2 linked regions of the Notamacropus eugenii genome follow. The protein of the gene in region 1 binds, or shares a complex with, the protein of each later gene. Links are inferred from orthologs where the notes say so. Each region holds a gene or a part of one and is shown on either strand. Other genes may lie near its edges.

The links. Proteins that work in one complex are often made in the same cells at the same time.
Region 2: TAF1B (region 1) and POLR2K share a complex: the UniProt entries of both Homo sapiens proteins name them as parts of the pol I pre-initiation complex. The link is inferred for Notamacropus eugenii from reciprocal best matches to the Homo sapiens genes TAF1B and POLR2K.

What each region holds. Positions count from the first base shown.
Region 1 is NC_092872.1:549,074,509-549,084,943, forward strand, and holds the start of TAF1B (TATA box-binding protein-associated factor RNA polymerase I subunit B), read right to left. Parts: upstream 4,821-10,435; 5' UTR 4,739-4,820; coding exon 4,721-4,738; intron 3,379-4,720; coding exon 3,280-3,378; intron 1-3,279. UniProt on the Homo sapiens protein: Component of RNA polymerase I core factor complex that acts as a GTF2B/TFIIB-like factor and plays a key role in multiple steps during transcription initiation such as pre-initiation complex (PIC) assembly and postpolymerase recruitment events in polymerase I (Pol I) transcription.
Region 2 is NC_092875.1:151,529,991-151,540,839, forward strand, and holds the start of POLR2K (DNA-directed RNA polymerases I, II, and III subunit RPABC4), read right to left. Parts: upstream 4,238-10,849; 5' UTR 4,134-4,237; intron 3,762-4,133; 5' UTR 3,753-3,761; coding exon 3,692-3,752; intron 1-3,691. UniProt on the Homo sapiens protein: DNA-dependent RNA polymerase catalyzes the transcription of DNA into RNA using the four ribonucleoside triphosphates as substrates.

The DNA of each region.
Region 1 (10,435 bases):
AAAGCGTTTAATAAGCATTTACTATTATATTCCAGGCATGACGTTGGTATTAACAGGTTGCAATATAAAGGTTTGTTTGGTCATTAGATACCAGTAGCACATTTTCCTACAAGAATAAAAAGGCCATGTATAGTAGTTAGATTTCCAAAGCTAGAACACAAGCTTGTTTATTTCATAAAATACAGGACAGTCAGTACTCTAGAATTGTACACTCTGTATACAAATGATTCTATGTGAAAATAAATTTGAGTTACCTCTTGGAATGCTTCAACACATCTCTCATTGCTGAAATACTGGTATTGGGAATGAGGAGTCTCTTCTTTCCCCTGAACCAGTTAAGTAGTACAGCACCAAGTCATTGTTGGCACAAGGGCTGAGACTCCAGTAGGGTTAGGATTTTAGGTAACAAGGTTCTTCAAGGGATAAGCAGTTGTGAAAATCTAAGGCAGGGGATCTGAAGGAGAGCAGTAAGAAGATAAGATGGAATTAGGGACACTGCCAAAGAAGCATGAGGATGATGAGGGAAAAATGGTCTTAGAGGCATAGTCTTCTGTTTTTCTCATGAAAGACGTTACTCTAAACCTGGGGTGAGGTGTGAAACTGAATACTGGTGGCAAGGTCCAAGAGGAGAGAAGAATCAGAAATGCCAAGAGGAAAAAAGACAGAAAGGCATATTCATAAGGCAATTCCTCATCTATAAAACAGTGACAAAAATACCCACATACCTCCTATACAGAGTTATCAGCAGAATTAAATGAGAAAAAATATGCTTTGCTAACATTAGAATCCTATGTAAATGTCATATTTTACTACTTCTAATGCTCTGTTAAACAGAAATAGTGACATCAGGAACCTTTAGATTGTTTTTAATGGAATTGCCTCTTAATGTCTCTATATTGCAAATTTTTACTTTGGGTTCAAACCTCACATATTGCCAAGTCCAATTCTAGCAGTATGATATCACTCACATTTTTCTCCTTTTCACCTACAAGGCTACCACTAACTTAAGTATTTATTTTACTTCTTACCTTGACTACTGCAAAAGTCTGCTAATTAGTCCACCTGAGCCAAGTGTGTCCCCTCTCCAGTCAATCCTCCACAAAGTTGCCAAAGAGTCACTTTTAAAGAACTGATCTGACCATGTCACTTCCTGACACAATAAACTCCAGTGGTTCCTTATTAAGTAAAGTATCAAACTTGTTTGTTGGACACTTAAAAGTTCTTCACAACCTGGCTCCAAACCACCTCTCCAGATTTATTATACATTTTACATTTTCACACATTTTATGAGCCAGCTAAAGTGGCTTCCTTGTCCTCCTTACAGATCACATTCATCTCCTTTGTACAGGTTACTGCCCATGCCTGGAATGCTCTTCTTAGTGTCTTTCAGTCCATCCCAAATGCTACTTCCTAGTCAATGACTTTACTGAACCTCCTCAACCTGCTCCTGAATACCTACTGTCCCTGAAATTGTCTTGCATTTGTTGTATATGCTTATACATGTACATGTTGTCTCCACCTAAAGTATACAGGCTCCTCAAGGACAAGTTTCATGTATGTCTTTGTTTCCCTCGCACTTAAAACAGTGCATGGCATATTGGAGACACTTAATAAACATTTGTTGATTAGCTAGCTGCTATCAATGATCAATTTAAAGTTGGAAGGGATTTTGCAGACCATCTACAGTCCAATTCTCTCATTTCACAGAAGAGAAACCTGTGGCCCTGAGAAGGGAAGAGACTTGCCCAAATTCACAAAAGTAAAGAGTAGCAAAGCCAGGATCCAAATCCAGATTCTGATTCCAAATTCAGCAAACGTTCCCCTGTGCCATGCTGCTATTCAAACAATCTTCTACAGATTTTTTTTACTTTTAAAATAGTTACACTTTCAACAAATACAAACAAAACATGGAATAAATTTCTAGATAAAATCATCAAATCCAAACATTATGATTGAAAAACAACAACATAAAAAATTTTAATAACAAAAATCAACTCATTCTTTGTCCTTTTTATTCACCTGTATATTTATAAAAAGTTAAGTGGTTTTTTTTATTCTGCTTTAGTCAACATATTGGTTGCTTTTCTTATTTTTTGACCATGTCTTTCATTACTTCATATATCTTTCCATATTTCTTTGCTGTTCTTTCTACATGCCAGTTAGTCTCCCATACCTAAAATGCAAAACCTCCCCACCTCCCGACCTCTTAGAAGGCCTCGTTTCCTTCAAGTTCAAGCTCAAGTTCTTCCTATACAGGACTTTTCCTTATTCCTGATTTACATCCCCACCCAAAAAAGTCAAATTATTCTGTATGGATTTACTTATATATGTACATGTTGTTTCTTCCTAATAGAATAGAAGCTACTTGAAAACATGGACTGTCTAATTTCTATCCCAGAACCTAAGACAGTACTAACACATATTAAGCACTTAAGAAATGCTTGTTGAAGAAGGCAATAAGGAGAGAAGGGGAGTTCATACAGACATTTGGTCACATGGTTAAGACATCAATTTCTTAATGGTACATTTGTTGGGATCTGCTTATATTCCAATATTCTTATAGGTAATATGCAGTATTTGGGGAGTCTTTTTCGCTACTATAGCAAATTCAGCTATATACGTAGGGAACAATTTAGAATAACATTTAAAACCTTTAACAGTATTAATAACTAGAGTTAAATCATCCTAAAAGTCCAAAATGAGTCCCAGAGTTCAATTCCAAGAATACTAAAATAAACATTTATTAAGTACCTGCTATGTACAAAAGCAGTGTGGCACCATGGATACAGGACCATCTTTCAAGTCATGAAGGCCTAGGTTCAAGTCTATACTTTGACAACCCATGGTCATGGAATTTCTCACTGCCTCAGGCAACTTCCTATACATATATATTACAGAAGATTTGTTGATCTGTGTCAGTGCAGGAAACTTCCACAACAAGTATTTCCCTACATCAATAAATTCACAGCTTCCAGACCAAAACAATATCAAACCACAGATCAAGTTAGGAGATTTAAAATCTCTTCCTTGAAGGAAGCTAAGATAATTTCTTCCCTGAAGGAGTCTAATGTTTAGTAGTTAAACAGAACCACTTCAAACTTCTGGCAGAATCAATATAATAATTAAAGACATCATCCTATGTCTAAAATTTTTGCGAAGATATATTTTCAAATGACATGACTGAAGAAAATATTTGGATTGTTCATCTATAAAACTTTGCAAATTATATTTCAGCATTTTCTATTCATTACAGAAATTTTTAAATGTAAGCAAACTTACCTCTGTAACATTGAGGCAAGTTGTACAATAATATGTTCCTTCATCAGTAACTCCCCAGGAAACAGCAGCACACTGCGTACAGGGTTCATTAAAGTCTCCCTGTAAAGGAAGAAAAATATGCATTCAATATATTTAACTCAAATATAAATCTAGACAGTGCATTTTCCATTACTGTATACTTCATTTAGCTACTCGGAGAGGTGTAGCTAAGTAGGAGGACAGGAACTAGAGGCCCTGACAAAGAAAGGGGGACTGAGAGGGTAGCAGATTGGAGAAGATGATCTTCGTGGTCCTGTCCTAAGAGATGCCACCAAAAATTCAGCATGAGGTGTGAACCAAAGAGGTTCGTTTTAGAGATATCAGGAAAAACTTCCTAAAAACTAGAGGTATACCAAAAAAGTGAGATGAGTTGCACCTTGATAATTTGTGTTTCCCCCACTTGGGAGCTGAATTCTGCAGGCAGAGGTTGGACCACTTGTTTGGTATATCCCTGCCCATATTCCTTTTATGTATGGATTGAACTGCATAGCTGCTAGGGTCCCTTCTATTCCCAAATTCTGTGATTTTGTGAAATTATCAGGTATGGGACAGATGGTCTGAAAAGTGAGGTCTTCTCTTTCAGGTGACTCACAGGACCCTGATAATGGAGTTACTGAAGAAAACCAGAATGCAAACTTTGACATAAAATGGGATATAAACCTCTTACACCGCAATAAGCTCAAAATGGATACATGACCCGATTAAAGGTTACACTACTAAAAAAGAGAATAATAAGGTGTGGCTGGGGAAAGAATTCTCAACTAAAGAACAGAGGTGATCCAAAAAAAAGAAAAAACATAATTCCAATGACACAAAGTTGGAAAGCTTTGACAATAACGAAATGAATCAATCAATAAACATTTATTAAGAGCCTACTGTGTGGAACTGCCACGTAGGATACAAAAAGAGACCACACACACACACACGCCCCTCATCTCCACGCTCCTCTCAATTCCAACCTGACTTAGTTATCTAAGTACGGCCATTTTCCTCCAGCAGAACCTAAGTTATTTAAGGGAAGGCTCCGTCCCACCCGGTGTTTGATCTCCCCTCCCCCATCCCGCTTCCTCCAGAGGCCAGCACATACTTGGGAACTCCTCAGGGGCTTAAACAAGCGTCTGTGGAATTCACGTGTGCGCACACTCCTAACGCTACATAACAACGGACGGTACCTCTTTAAACGAACACACACGTGCACTCCCGCGCACACACCCCGTCACATCACCTAACGGTCGGTACCTCTTCAAACACGCGCACACCCCCCCCCCCCACACACACACGCACACACACACGTACGCTCCCGTGTACACACACCCTCACACCCACACCCATTCACACTCCAGGCCCTCACTGCTCCCGGGGGCCTTGACCAAGCCCTCCCGGCCGGGCCCCGAGTCCTCACCGCCTCCTCAAACTCCATAGCGGAGCCCAGGTCTTCCGTTACTCAGAGAATGCACGTTCGCGCCGCGGAGGTTCCCGGAAGTCCTCAGGGGCACTCTTCCGGGGCGGAAACCACCGGCAGGCACTTTCGGTTCCGGGGCAGCTGCGTTCCTCCACGTCCCTCCCGGCGCAGCCGGATGAGGAGCGCTCGGGAATGGGGCAGCCCCGGCTCGGGAGCCGCCGCTCGCGTTTCCGCCGAGCTTCGGTTTCCAAGTCAGCCGGCTGGCCGCAGCCCAGGCAGGTCGGGATGCCGGCGCCTTCCTCCTGCGGCCACCCCCGGTAGCTGGCTCTTTTCCTGCTGTCTCTCCCGTTAAACCGTAAGTCCGAGGGCGGAGACTGTCTTTTCCCTTTCTTTTTTTTTGGTGTCCTTAGCGCTTAGCAGAGTGAAAGAGCATGGGTGCTTTATAAATGCTAATTGACCGATGGACTCTAATCAGAAGAACTTGAATGGGCATTCCACCCCATTCTGCAGGTACTTCTTGAGAGCGTGCCGTGTGCCGATCATTGTGCCAGGTGGTGGAGATACAGAGACAAACCCACACCCCTTTGTCACCGGGAGCTCACCAGGCGTTGGGTGAAACGTCTAGACAGAGGCCTGGCTCTGCAGTAAAGGAGACCAGACTTGTGGTCTGCCTCAGCCCTTTCGGAAGCTCGGTAACCAGGGCAAGTCGAGTCAAACCAAGTCAGCCAGCCTGCATCAAACTGTGCCCACGCCCTGGAGATTCAAAGAAAGGCAAAAAACGGTGCCTGCTCTCAGGGAGCTCACGGGCTTACCAAAAAGATCATAGTGGGAAAATATATACAGGATAAATGGGAGATGATCCCAAAGGGAAGGCACTACTAGACTTGGGGGGATCTGGAAAGATCTCCTGCAGTGAGACTTTAGCTGAGACTTCTGAGGGTCTTCCCCTCCCAGTTTTTGATCGATTGATTGATTAATTGATTGATTAAAGGGGCCTTGGCTGACTTCTTAAATAGGCCCAATCACTGTTTCGTCAAAGTGAGAACTCTCTCTCACTACATCCTGAGCCATGGCCAGTTGTCCTGATCTGTATCTGGTCACTGAACCCAGATGACTCTGGAGAAGAAAGTGAGGCTGGTAACTTTGCACAACCTTCCCCCACTCAAATCCGGTTCAGTTGCAAGTCATGGCATTATCTTCCTCATGTCATGGTCCTCTTCCTGAATGAAGGACAATCCACAACCACAGCTGAGACTTAAAGGAATCCAGAGAAGCCAAGGGGGTGAATGTGAGGAGGGGGAAGGTTCTAGACATGGAGGACAGCTAATCAAAATGTGAAGACATGAGGTATAGGGCACACTCCATCCAGGAACAGCAAAGAGACAGTGTCATTGAAACATGGAGCATGTAGAGGGGTGTAAGGTATAAGAAGACTAGGTAAGTAGAAGAGACAGATTATGAAGGGGCTTTAAAAAGCCAAACAGAGGATTTTATATTTGATCCTGGAGGTAATAAGGAGTCTGTTGAATGGAGGGGAATAGGAGGGAGGTTGGTGACTTGATCAGACTTATGCTTTAGGAAGATCACTTTGGTAGCTGACTGGAGGCTGGACTATATGTAGTGAGGTGAAATTTGCAGCAGGAGAACCTTCACCAGGGTGGTGGCAGTGTCACAGGAAAAAACAGAGTTACAACATGGTAGCCCAAAATACTGATATCTTAGGCTATATTGAAAGGTTTAGGATCCGGGACTGAGAAGATGACAATTTCTCATGTCTTCTGTCCTAATCAGACCACATCCAGAGTACCTGTTAAAATTCTGGTAAATGCATTTTAAACTGGAAGGCAATTGATTTGAAATGGTTCACAAGACCATGAGAAAGTTAGATACTGTGTCACGGGAGGATAAAAGATCCTTTAAAGGAATTGAGAAAGTTTAATATGAAGAGAATATTGGGGACATGTTCATTTCCTTCCAGTGTTTGAAGGGCAATTGTGGGGGGTGACAGGGAAGGATTGCAATTAGACATGTTCTCCTTGGCCTCAGTGCCAGCACTGGGACTAGATTTCAGGATGATGTAGGAGAAGGGAGGAAAGCAGTATGGGCAATGATAAGAAACAAGGCGCACAAGAGGTAACAAAGTTTCAGAAAACAAAGCATGTTAATGTAGGTACTTTAAAATGACTTGAGGGGGAGGAGCCAAGATGGTGGAGTAGAAAGACACACATATGCTAGCTCCGAACCCACAGCCCATAAAATATCTGTAAAGAAGAACTCCCAACAAATTCTGGAGCAGCAGAAGCCACAGAACAATGGCGTGGACAAGATTTCTGTTCCAGAGAGCCCTGAAAACCTGACGCAAAAGGTCCATTCATGCCCCAGACCAGAGCAGAGCTCAGCCCTGCCTCAGCCTCGTGGTGCCCAGAGGAGCAGATCTGAGCAGGCTTCAGGGACAGAATCTCCAGCGCCAAGCAAGTCCCTCCACCCACAGGTGACAAGGGTCGGTGAGAAAGTCTTTTTGGGTGGCGGACGGGAGTGGGGTGTCCCCGTGGCTCGGGCCCCCCTTGGGAGGCAGCAGCGGAGGTGGCGGGCGGACAGGGGCTTCCCAAGCAGGCAGGAACTCGGATCCATTGTTGAAGGTCTCCCCATAAACCCCCTGAGGGAACTGAGCCTGTGAGGTGGCCCTGCCCCAACCTGAGCAGCTGAACTTAATCTCACATTGAATAACAGCCCTGCCCCCACCCAAAGCCCTGAGGCTGGGAAGCAGCATTTGAATCTCATACCCCAAGCACTGGCTGGGTGGATCTGGAGGCAAAGTGGGTGTGGAGAGGACACTCAGAAGTCAAGTCACTGGCTGGGAAAATCCCCAGAAAAGGGAAAAAAAATAAGACTATAGAAGGTTACTTTCTTGGTGAACAGATAATTCCTCCCTTCCTTTCTGATGAGGAAGAACAATGCTTACCATCAGGGAAAGACACAGAAGTCAAGGCTTCTGTATCCCACACATCCAAAATAAATATACCATGGGTGCAGGCCATGGAAGAACTCAAAAAGGTTTTTGAAAATCAAGTAAAAGAGGTGGAGGAAAAACTGGGAAGAGAAATGAGAGAGATGAAAGAAAAGTATGAGAAGCAGGTCAGCACCTTGCTAAAGGAGACCCAAAAAAATGCTGAAGAAAATAACACCTTGAAAAATAGGCTAACTCAATTGGCAAAAGAGGTTCAAAAAGCCAATGAGGAGAAGAATGCTTTCAAAAGCAGAATTAACCAAATGGAAAAGGAGGTTCAAAAGCTCGCTGAAGAAAATAGTTCTTTCAAAATTGGAATGGAACAGATGGAGGCTAATGACTTTGTGAGAAAGCAAGAAATCACAAAACAAAACCAAAAGAATGAAAAAATGGAAGATAATGTGAAATATCTCATTGGAAAAACAACTGACCTGGAAAATAGATCCAGGAGAGACAGTTTAAAAATTATGGGCCTACCTGAAAGCCATGATCAAAAAAAGAGCCTAGACATCATCTTTCATGAAATTATCAAGGAAAACTGCCCTGATATTCTAGAACCAGAGGGCAAAATAAGTATTTAAGGAATCCACAGACCACCGCCTGAAAGAGATCCAAAAAGAGAAACTCCTAGGAACATTGTGGCCAAATTCCAGAGTTCCCTGGTCAAGGAGAAAATATTGCAAGCAGCTAGAAAGAAACAATTCAAGTATTGTGGAAATACAATCAGGATAACACAAGATCTAGCAGCTTCTACATTAAGGGATCGAAGGGCGTGGAATAGGATGTTCCAGAAGTCAAAAGAACTAGGACTAAAACCAAGAACCACCTACCCAGCAAAACTGAGTATAATACTTCAGGGGAAAAGATGGTCTTTCAACGAAATTGGGGACTTTCAAGCATTCTTGATGAAAAGACCAGAGATGAAAAGAAAATTTGACCTTCAAGCACAAGAATGAAGAGAAATATGAAAAGGTAAACAGCAAAGAGAAGTCATAAGGGACTTTACTAAAGCTGAACTGTTTACATTCCTACATGGAAAGAAAATATTTGTAACTCTTGAAACTTTTCAGTATCTGGGAAGTTGGTGGGATTACACACACACACACACACACACACACACACACACACACAGAGACAGAGAACACAGAGTGAGTTGAATAGGATGGGATCATATCTTAAAAAAATGAAATTAAGCAGTGAGAGAGAAATATATCGGGAGGAGAAATGGAGAAATGGAATGGGGCAAATTATCTCTCATGAAAGAAGCAAGCAAAAGACTTTAGTGGAGGGAAAAAGAAAGGAGGTGAGAGAAAAACATGAAGTTTACTCTCATCACATTCGACTAAAGGAAGGAATAAAATGCACACTCATTTTGGTATGAAAACCTATCTTACAATACAGGAAAGTGGGGGAGAAGGGGATCAGCAGGGTGGGGGGGATGATGGAAGGGAGGGTAATGGGAGGAGGGAGCAATTAGAAGTCAACACTCTTGGGGAGGGACAGGATCAAAAGAGAGAATAGAAGAAATGGGGGGCAGGATAGGATGGAGGGAAATATAGTTAGTCTTACACAACATGACTATTATGGAAGTCATTTGCAAAACTACACAGATATGGCCTATAATGAATTGCTTGCCTTCCCAAAGAGAATGGGTGGGGAGGAAGGGATGAAGAGAAGTTGGAACTCACAGTTTTAGGATCAACTGTCGAGTACTGTTTGCACTACTAGGAAATAAGAAATACAGGTAAAAGGGTATAGAAAGTTATCTGGCCCTACAGGACAAAAGAGAAGATGGGGACAAGGGGAGGGAGGGATGATAGAAGAGAGGGCAGATTGGTGATAGGGGCAATTAGAATTTTCAGTGTTTTGGGGTGGGCGGAGGGGATAAATGGGGAGAAAATTTGGAACCCAAAATTTTGTGAAAAATGAATGTTAAAAGTTAAATAAATTAAATTAAAAAAAAAAGTAAAATGACTTGAGGCTTAACTAACACTCAACTCACAGTTCAGCACAAATTTGTGAGTCGTATTTCCAAGGGAAAGCACTGTCATCAAATGCCATTGTGGTCATTTAATCTGGCTACACTTTACATTAATTCTTCATTTTAGAATTCTTTCTTTAATATAAAAGACAGATACTTAATTTATTATTATTTAATTAATGGGAATTGTGCATTACAAGATCATTAGGTAAAATGCAGGGTAGAAACCTATTATTAACTTCAAAGCTTTCTGGAGAACTATTAAATGCTAGCAGATATATTCTAGGGAGCAGTCAACATTCTTGACACTGAAGTCTTTTTTTGTTTGTTTGGTTGGTTGGTTTTGGTTTTGTTTTCTGATTCTCCTTTTGTCTGCCCTCAGGAATTTCCACTGGAAAATGTCTGTCTGGGGAGAAGAGCAGGATGTGGGACTCATACTTTCCTTACACCACCCTCAGGATGGAATCTTTCATCTTTTGATTCCTGATTTACCAGTCGTGCAACCTTTGCTAGAAGGAAATTGGCAAATCCCAAAGAGTTGAAGGAAAGATTTTTGTTTTGCTTTAATTAAGGTTGTATAGAGTGTACATTATATAACCAGAACTCATGGTTTATTTGCTAGTCCTGTTTCATACATTCATTTTTTTCAACAAATCATTATTGAACACTTAATATTTATAAAGCCTTCCCTCTATAACTAGGTATAGGGAGTGATACAAAGACACAT
Region 2 (10,849 bases), on another chromosome or scaffold:
ACACTGACCTTCTTACTGTTCCAATCATATGATACTCCAAATATTTTTACTGGCTGTCCTCCATGTCTGTAATTCTCTTCTTCCTCTCCATTTACTGGCTTCCTTCAAATCCCAACTACAATCTCACTTCCTACAGGAATCCTTTCCCAAATTCCCTTAATCCTAGTGCCTTCCTCTATGGATTGTCTCCAATTTATCATGTTTATACAGTTGTTTGCATGTTGCTTCCACCATTAGAAGGTAAGCTCCATGAGAGCAGGAATTGTTTTTTGCATTTCTTTGTATCTCCAGTGCATTGCACAGCCTCTGACACAGAGTAGGCACTTAATAAATGTTTACTGACTGACCCTTGGAATTTACTGAATTGGGCAGTGACACAGTCAGACTTAAGCTTTAAGAAAATGGCTCTCTCAGACATATGTTAAACTCAGCATGTCTAAAACTGAACTCATTACCTTCCCCACCGCACCCCAAAACCTTCTCCTCTTCCAAACTTACCTACTCTGTCAAAGACACAACTATTCTTCCAGTGTCTCAGATTCATAATGTAGGCAACTGCCTTTGCTCCTCGATTTTCTCTCACCTCATACATTCAATCATTTGCCAGACCTTACAGTTTCCACCTTCACAACCTCTCTCACATGCAATCCCTTCTCCCTACTGCAGTTGAGACAATCACCACTTCTCACCCTGATTTCTGAAATGGCCTTCTAACTGGGTTTCATGATTCAAGTTTCTACATACTCCAATCCACTTTACCCACTGCTGACACCAAGGTGATTTTCCTTAAACACAGATCTATGTGACTCCCCAACTCAACCAACTCTAGTGACTTCCTACTGGCTCTAGAATAAAATGTAAACTGTTTAGCTTTTAAAACCCTATACAACCTGACTCCAACATAGCTTTTCAGACTAATTTGACCTTATTCCTCATCTCAAATTCTGCAATCCAGCCAAAGGAGGCCTTTTTTCAGTTTCTCAAATACAATACTTCATTTCCCATCTCTATGCGTTTGGACAGGTCACTGGCCCCATGTCTGGAATTCACTTCCATCTTACTTGTTTCTTTAAGATACAGTTGATTTACCATCTTCCATGTGAAGTCTTTCCTGATCTCCCTCAACTCCTAGTATCCTCCCCCCCAAACTTTCTTGTATTTAATTACTTTGTGTATATGTATTTATGAACTTCTTATTTGTACTGCATATATTTTTAATGGAAAGAAAAGGATGAAGCAAGCATTTATTAAGTACTAACTCTGTGATAGGAACTGTGCTAAGCATTTTACAAATACTTCATTTTATCCTTGTAACAATCCTGTGAGGTAGGTATGATTATTATCCCCATCATACAGTAGGAAACAGAGGAAGACAGATCAAGTGACTTGCCTGGAATCACACAGCTAGTAAGAGTCTGAGGCAAGATCTGAATTCAGGTCTTCCAGACTGAGGCCCAGTGCTTTATCCACTGTACCTACCTGACTAATATATGCACTTGTCTTCTCCATTAGCATACAAGCTTACTGTGGAGATTGTTTCATTCTTTGTACCTGTATGCCCAGCACCTAGACAAGTACCTGGAATGCTGTACATGTTTAATGAATACCTGCTGATGGAAAATCCTAGGCAAGACTGTCTATCCCATTGTCTCAACTTATTCTCTTCTCTCCTTTCAACCCCTTTGTAATCTGGCTTTCTGATTTCCTCACAACTGGAATTGTTCTCTCCAAAGATACCAATTATCTCTTAATTGATAAACCTGATGGGTTTTTACCATCCTCATCCTTCTTGACCTCTATTGCAACATCTGACACCACTGAATACTCTTTCCTCCATCAATCACCATGCTTTTAATAAGTTCTACATGTCAGGCACTTACTACATTAACTGCTGGATCCTCCTATAAACTGTCTTCTTTGGGTTTTTGTGACACTGCTCTCACTTGCTTCTCTTATCTGACAGTTCATCTGTCTCCTTTGCTGTTTCACTGTCCACATCCTACTCCCTAAAAGTGTACCCCAAGGCTCTCTCCTGGGCCCTCTCTTCGGTCTATATTCTCTCACTTGGTGACCTGATCAGCTCCCATGGATTCAATTATCATTTCTATGCAGATGACTGCCGGAGCTATATTCAGTCCTAGTCTTTCTTCTGAGCTCCAGTCAAATACCAATTAAGTGCCCATTAGACATTTCCAAATGGGTTGTCCCACAGGCAGTTCAAGATGCCAAAATGTTACTCCAAGGGAAAATAAAACATCCAAAATCGAATGCATCTCCTCCTTTCCTAACCCTAACCCTATAAAAAACAAAACAAAAGATCTCTCTTCTTAACTTCTCTATTTTTACCCTTTCACTCAGCCAAGTTCAAAAACTCTCCATTATCCTTAATCCCCTACTTTCCCTTACCCCACACATCCCATTAGTTACCAAATCTTGTTTCTACCTCCACATGTTTAATATTGGTTCCCTTTTCTCTACTCGTACGATCTCCACTCTGGTTCAAATCCTTACCAGGTCTTGCCTGGATTACTGAAATAGCTTCATATTTAGCCTTGTCTCTCCTTTTTCAACTCTGTCCTCTACCAAGTTCCCAACAAGCCACAGTATCCTCAGGTACTATTACAGACAGGGGACATGTGTGTGTGTTAGTCCTTTGCTGCCAAAGAAGACCATGCCATCAGAGAAATGATGACATGACTTGCACTGGACTTTGTTTTGAGTGAGGGAGGGCTGCAACAACTAGCTGCCTCAGAGAGGGGACATACTATTTTCTGTAAGAGTAAGGTAGGTACTTTTAACCACTCCTACTTTGTTGTGGGTGAAATAACAAGGTTTTGGAGTCAGAAGATTTGGAAGTCAAATCCCAGCACTGTTACATACTATGAGACCCTGGACTCTTGTCTCACTTCACACTTGGAAGTCTCAGGTTCCTCATTTATAAAATAGTATTTGTTGAAATGCACTTCATAAAACTTAAAGCTGTTATTAATAGTATTTTTTTAAGCCTTCTTATGTGCAAAGTTATGTTATGTGCTAAAATACTAGTTATGTGCAAAGATACTATAATTCTAAAATTCATAAGTTAACTATGCAATTTACAATTTATTTTGTTCCCTTGATCCTCCCTGCTGCCATATTTTTCTGCCTTTAAAACAATTTAGTAAAGCTGGCTGAGAACTGAGAGAATAAATAAACACAAGACAATCCTTTTTTGCTAGTTGTGGTTAAAATACTGGGTCGGGAGTCAGGAAGATCTGAGTTCAGATCCAGCTTCAGACACTCACTGGCGGTGCAATTCTAGGCAAATGACTTAACTCGTTTGCCTCAGTTTCCTCATTTGTAAAATAGAGATAATAACTGCATCTGTCGGGACTGCGGTGAGTATCAAATGTGATAATATAAGTAAAGCATTTAGCACAGTGCCCGGCATACAGTAGGTGCTAAATAAATGTTACTACGATGTGCATTCTACGTATCAGGCACACAGTAAGCACTATATAAATGTCACCTATTATCATTAGTTGTTGACAGATCTGTAAGAAGTTTGGTTTTGATTACAGGCGATGTATCTGTGAAGCCCCATATTCTGGAAGGGTAATCTGTCCCTCACAACTGACTTTACACAACGAGGAAGGTGAATGTGTTTTCGAACCACTTAAACGGGGTATTCTTTCTCAACAGCGACTCTCACCTCCACAGATATATATCATCGGCTGCTGCTTTGGCGGCTGCACATCCTTCTGGGTATCCATCTTCAGTCCCTGAAAACCACAGACGGGAACGTTTTCTCCAATCCAAGAGGCCCCCAAACTGACGCAAGGGCCCGCGTTCCTCCTCACCCCCAAACCACGAGCATCACGGGAATGACAGCCCCGATCCGACATTCATGAGGCCGGCTCAGGTCCGCAGAAGGCGGTTTTCCCCAATCCTACCTTCTCGTCCGGGCGGACACTGCCCAGGGCAGCGACCCATCTCGGGCACACAAGGGCGACAACCCCGGGGTCCGCCGGAGAAAGGGCGCCCTCCTGACCGACCCCGGTATCCCGCCACCTGCCCCGCTTCCAGGCCCCGGGGTCCCCATCTCGAGTTCTTAAACTCGATCTAAAACGCTCTCAACCCTCAGGCCTGCGTACCTCACACACCGCAATCCGGTCCCCGATATCACAGCGCCGAGACCTACTTCCGGCGCTTCCTAATGACGCGTGGAGGCGCCCTCAAACAACCCCGCCCCTTCCGGCTCGTGCGTGGACGGGGGTAACTGATTGGCTGGTATCAGAAGAAGGCGGGGCGAGGGCTGGAAAGGGGATGGGCGGGACTGAGTTCAAACTGTCGGCGGTCCTTCGCTTGAGGGGCGGAGTTGGAGGCTTCTGGGTTGTTCTTAGCCCGTAAGTTCTTTCCTGCAGATGGTCAGGTCTCAAACCCGTTGATGAGTTAGGGGGATGTCTCCCCCAAGCTTGTGAAGACAGATGAGAACCCTCCCCTCTGCTGGGAAGCCCGAGAAGGCGGCGGAAGCGGGCGGAGCGCCTAGAGCTTGGTCGGCAGGGAGAAAGCCACAGTCACCCGCTGCATCCGGGGACAATGGCCGTCTTCTTGACTTTTCTCTGACTCAGGAAGATAAAGTGAGGCTGACAACTTCGTGCGACTCTGCCTCACTTCGATCCAGTTCACCCCAAGTCTCTTGATGTCTTGGGTCCTCTCGGAAACCGCGAAGGAAGAGCAAGTGTGTGAGACAGTGTTTGAACTCAAGTCACAGTAACTCCAGGTCCAGTGCTCCGTGCTAGGACAAGGGACACAAGTCATCGTAGTAACAGCAGACCACTTGGCTGATTCACCTCATCAGCAGACATTTATTGAAGCCCCTATACACTGAGAGGAGAGAAGGCTTGGAATAGCTTCTGTGGGCAATGGATAGAGCGACAATTAGGCAGGACTAAAAGGATTGTCATGCTTTTTTGAAATGAGATCATGTAATAATTTGTAGTAGACCCAATCGCTGACCTCTTTTAGCTTTGTTAGTAGGGCATGAGTGGAAACAGAAGGGGCCGATGGAATAGAGTAAACGTGGTTAATTCTAGGGTTCAGATTGGGAAGGGAGGAAAATAAGTTTAGAGCAGAGGAGATAGCTTTGGAACATACAGAGAGATGAAAGGAAGGTATAAAGAGAGATGGAATGAGAGGAGTTTACGATTTTGGAAGTAGAGCACTTGAAGGGGAGGGCAAGACCAAGGATGTGATCATCTCTCTGTGCAGCTGGGGTAGAGGGGAGGAGTAGGTCATGGAAACTGAAGGGATTGAGGAATTGGGAGTTTAAGATGTTTGAGAGGATAGTATGTGTATGTTGAAGTGCCTTAGTATAAGGGCAGGAGTTGAGAAAGATAAACATACTATGACCCAACTACTGTATCCTTTGAGAAAGGAAGAAGATGTTTTGGGAACCAGTCCAGATTGGGTGATAAATTTGAATGGAGTGAACCTAAGAGGAGGAGAGGTTGCTGAAAGGAGACAAAGGCAATGGGTGGAAGTAGCAATGAGGAAATAGGAATAGTCTGACTCCCCTTCTAGGGCTAACATATCTGATGAATGAGAGAAAGAACAAAGACAGGTTATTTGTCCTTTGTGGTTTTTTTCTAAATACATCATGGGGTAATGTCTTGACTTGAGCTTGAATTGGATTTAAGTGAGGCAGTCAGCCTCACTCTCCTGGATTCATCAAAATCCAGTGGTAAGACAAAAGTCAGGATGATTGGTGATGGCCTGGGATGCAGTGGATGACCTTGGCATCTTCAATGCCTCATCAAGCTTGAAGCGCTCCACAGTGCCTGCTTCAGCCACCTTCATGGCTGTTGGAACAAATTGTTGTCATCCACCTATTTTGCCAGGGGAAGTCTTCACATGCTTGGGATTGACTCCCTCCCCCCAATGGGTTTGAGGCCTGTTGGTTTTCCTCAACCAAGATGATTTTACTGAGGTGTGGTCAGTGGGCATGCTTCAGCTTCTTGGAGCCACAGGTGTGAATTGAGTACCAAGCAGACACCAAATGAACAGCCCTGAAAAAGGTGGGGTAGGTTAGAAGTACATGAGGATGAGAGCATATGAAGGGGAGATAGGGAAGGCTGTGGCTTACACTTAGGCAGCCAAGAAAAGGTAGGGTGTTTGTTAGTAAAAAGGATTCATTCTGGGTAGAGGGTACTAGCAACACTCTGAAAACTCAGCATTTGAGGTAGGTGATGTCATTCTCTACCTAGGCTCCACTTTGAGGTATAGGAGTGGGAAGAGGAAAAAGAAGACTCTTAGTAGCTTGGTTTTTCTAGTTTGGGGAGGTGGGAGATAGGGAGGAGAACTCAAGCAGGCTACTCCTGCTATGCCCTCAATCTAAATCAATACTGCTCTTATTAAACTTCTCTGTCTTGCTGATAAGGTTTTAATTTAGAACTTGATAAATTTGAAAAAAGAACAGCCCTGAACTTTCACACACGTTCTGGTGCTCTGAAGCATCTGTTTTTATTTCAGACAGATTCATAAAATAGTTTCCCCATAGACAGGTATTATTGAGGACTGTGATAGAGCCAGTTTTTTAAGCACCTGCCATGTGCCAAGTGCTATGTTAAGCTCTAGGGTTACAAAGAAAAGCCAAAACAAACAAACAAATCAGGAGCTAAATCTAATGAAGGAGATACCATGAACACAACTGTATACAAATAAGTTATAGAGAGGATATCTTAGAGATTATTTCAGAGGCAAGGTGCTAGGATTAAAAAGAACTGGGAAAAGCTGTTTTTGACAGAAGATGGGGCTTCAGCTGAGACTTGAAGCTCAGAGGTGGAGATGAGAGAGAAAGTGCCAGGCTTGGGAGAGCCATATGAATATTCCCAGTCAGGGGATGGGGTGTCATGTGCCTAGAACTGCCAGGAGGCCATTGTCACTAGATCTCAGAGTACTCAGAGCGGAATAAGGTGTAAAAAGACTGGAAAGGTAGGAAGGGACCAGATTAAGAAGTGCTTTAAAAGCCAAACAGATTTTGGTATTTGATCCTGAAGATACTAGCAAATCAGTAGAGTTGATGAATAAAGGGGTGACCTGTGCTTCAGAAAGATGAATTTGACATCTGAGTGGAGGATAGACTGAAGTGCAGAAAGACTTGATGCAAGGAGACCAACCAGCAGATTATTGCAATAGTTCGGGCATGAGTTGATGAAAACCTGCTTCTGGGTGGTGGGACTGTCAGGAGAAAAGGGGGTATGTATGAGAGATGTTGCAAAGGTCAACATAATAGAACTTAACAACCGATTGGCTATGGGAGAGAATGAAGAAGAGACATGGGTTAGGAGACTTGGGTGACTGGGAGGATGTTAGTGCCTTCAATAATAATAAAACCTTTTTCAGGGCTGCTTATCCACCTTTGGTGTCTATCTGGCACTCAACTTACACCTGTGGCTCCAAGAAGCTGAAGCATGCCCACTGATCACACCTGGGGAAAACAATCTTGTCATCCTGACTTTCGTCTTGCTGCTGGATTTTGATGAATCTGAGAGAGAGAGTGAGGCCAAATGCCTCACTTAAATCCAATTCAAGCTCAAGTCAAGACATCACCCATGATGTCATTGGTTCTCTTTGAAGACATAGACCAAACAATAACAATAGAGAAATTAGGAAGAGGGAATAGGTTAGTTTTTATTTTTGTTTTGGTTTGGGGGGTTTTTTTTGGTTGGGGGAGGAGCAGAGATAATGAGTTTGCTTTAGACATGTTAAGTTTAAGAAGTCTATGGAATATTCAATTTAAGACATCAAATAGACATTGGAGAAGAGACCAGGAGACAGGATAGGGCTGAACAGATAAATCTGAGAATCATCTGCGTAGAGATGATAATTGAATCTAAGGGAGCTGATGAAATTATCAAGTGAAATAGTTCAGAGGGAAAAGAGGGCTTAGGACAGAGCCTTGGGGGAGATCCTACAGTTAGTGGTCATAACCTGGATGAAGATCCAACAAATGAGACTGAAAAGAGGTCCATCAGTTAGAATGAAAACAAGAAGAGACAGCAGCATGAAAACCCAGAGAATATAGGTCCAGAATGAAAAATGAAAGAGGCTATATATAGCAAAAGGGTAGGAGATGCCTCACATAGCCCTAATAGGAAGGAGAAAAAACACCCCAGGATCCTGAGATTAAAGGGGATTTTAGTTTTAGATCTGGAAATAACCTAAGAAAGCATTTGTTCCAACCCCACCCTTTAGGACCAGAGGATGAAAAAGTAGGATGTAGAGGGATCTTTAAGGTCATGTAGTACAAATCCCTCATTTTGTAGTTGAGGAAGCTGTGGCTCAGAAATATGAATTCAGTCAAGGGTGAATAGGAGATAGTAGCAAAGCCAGATTTTGAAGCCAGACTAACTCAAAATCCAGCACTCTTTCCACTGAACCCTGAGTCTTAGAGTAGTGGTTTGCTCTAAGTCTTATGGGTTCTAATAATTGGCAGAATTAGGACTTGAATCCAGAACTTGTGACTCCAAATTAGGGTCCTTTTCATGATCTATTGCTGTCTCATCTATACCATACTGCAAAAACTTATTGAGAACCTCTGGTGTACAAGAAACTGTGTTAGGTATTGGGTATATGAGGCATTAAATTCCTGTTGGGGAGACAAAACACATACACACAAAAAGATAAGTAAGGTATCATACAGTGAGTACCAAACGAATGAATAGACAAAACATGCTATGGGAGATCCCATGTGGGAAAGAGTAGAAAAGGAAGGTACTGTGTGGGGTGAAGGCATAACGATGGGGGTGAGGAACAGTAGGGATGGATACATTAAAAACTGATATTCAGTGAAAATAAATGCACATAATTATCTTTCTAAACATATTCTTTAAACGAAGATGTGAGAAGCTGAAAGAGGAATAACGAACTCCCACACCTTAGCTTGTTCCTAGCTTCTTGATTTGTGGCCACTAGCACAAGACTGGGATGGGGAAAGACAATGATCGGGGATAGGGGGGTAGTTGGGGGGGTGTAGTTCCCATTCTATATTCCTCCCCAAAACGGTCCCTAACGTCTGGAGCGGGGCAGGTGCCTGGGACAGCTAGAGGGCAGCGTAGAAGAGGAGAGTGGGACAGGACGGGGGCAGGGCAAGGCAAGGCAAGGCAGGGGCGAGAAAGGGAAGGACAAAAAGAGGGAAGGGGAGGAGGAGGGAAGGGAAGAGAAAGAAGGACAGGGGAGGGGGAGGGGCCGCAGCTAGCGGTTATTCAGGGCGGGGAGTTCAAACCCAAGAGAGGGAAAGCAGTGGCGGCCTCACGCTACCTGGGATTGGGGGTTGCCATAGCCAGAGCATCCCTGGGGCCGAAGCCGGTGGCTCTGCCCCTTCCACACCCTTCCCCACCACTCCCCTTTCCCCGCCCCCTTCCCCCTTTCCCTCTTGCCTCCCTCCCAAGCTCAGCAGCTTCAGCTGCTGCCATTCATCCATCCCAGAGGAGGCAGGAGGAGTCTGCCCTGGGCTTTGTAGTCTCCAGTTGGACGGGGGTGGGGGACCCCAGGTTGTTGGGACTGCTGCTGCTGCAGGGGAGCAGAATTCCTGGGAGTCCCCCCTCCCCGCCCCCAGTTTGTTTTCCAGGTGCTGGAAAAGGGTGAGATGCGTTGAAGTTACCTGCTGCCTCCTGCCTCCTCTTTATCTCCCTCTACTGCAGGTGACTATACCCTCATAATTGTGTGTATCTCTCTGCCTCCCTGGCTTTCAGGGTCCTGAGGAAAAAAAAAACAACTAATTCGTCTTAGTGGCTGGAAATCCAACCTTAACTTTCCAAAATGGATGGGGAGGGACAGGAGGGAGTAAAATTAATTAAAGTGAGGAAAACTAGTGATGATTTAGGTGAAGCTAGGTTATCACCTATCCCCACCAACACATACCTTTCTCCAAGGGCAAGGAATTTATAGAACTCTGGCACCCCTCCTCCTCTTGAGAAACCTAATTAAGGAGTTTATTCATAACATTCAGCAGTGTATCGAGGGAAAAGAAGATTAAGATTTCTGTTGTATGAAAGGGTGAAGAACATTCCAAAATATTTTGTTTTTAAATGTAGTGATCATAGGTTCATAAATTTAGAGTTGCATCACAGCATTTATATTCCACACCCTTCAGATTTTAGTACTTGAGAGGCTTATGATTATACTAAGCATAGTGTCTGGCTCATAGTAAGCATTCTTATTTACTGTTTCGCACTTCATCTCAAAGGTTTTTTTTTCTCTAATTTGATCACGGTGATGTTGAGTCTTCTTCTGCTCCACTCCATCCCATGATCCCATTGATTGTTCAGAGAACAGGATACTTGTTTATGGTTTAATTAGATTTTTCTGCATTTGCAAAATTAATATAGTCTAGAGATTTCAAAGTTTATCTGATGGTAGGTATCCTAGTTTTACAAATAGAGGAAATGTGGTTTCAGGATAGTTAAACTATTTCTTTCACTTCAATTAAAGTATCTACTAAACACCTCCTTACAGTAGAAGGCTGTGATTTGTTTTTTTGTTTTTTCCTTTACTGAGGGGGGTCTGGATAATTATTGTAGTAATATCAACTGATTTATCAGGAACCTGTTATTACCTAAATGTATAATTTTTTAACCTTCAGTAGTTTATAGCTGGAGGGACTTCTGAGGTCATCTCCAAATAATATCAAGGTGATTATTCCAAGAAAATAATATTTTCAAATTATGTGCAGAGGGATGAAATTAATACATTAAAATCAAATTGAGAAGTAAAAAGAAAGTGTTAGGTGAGAGTGTAAACACTACAGGGGGCGGACCCTTCCCGTTTTTCGGGTTCATCAATCCCTCTGATAGTCTGGTGAAGCCTA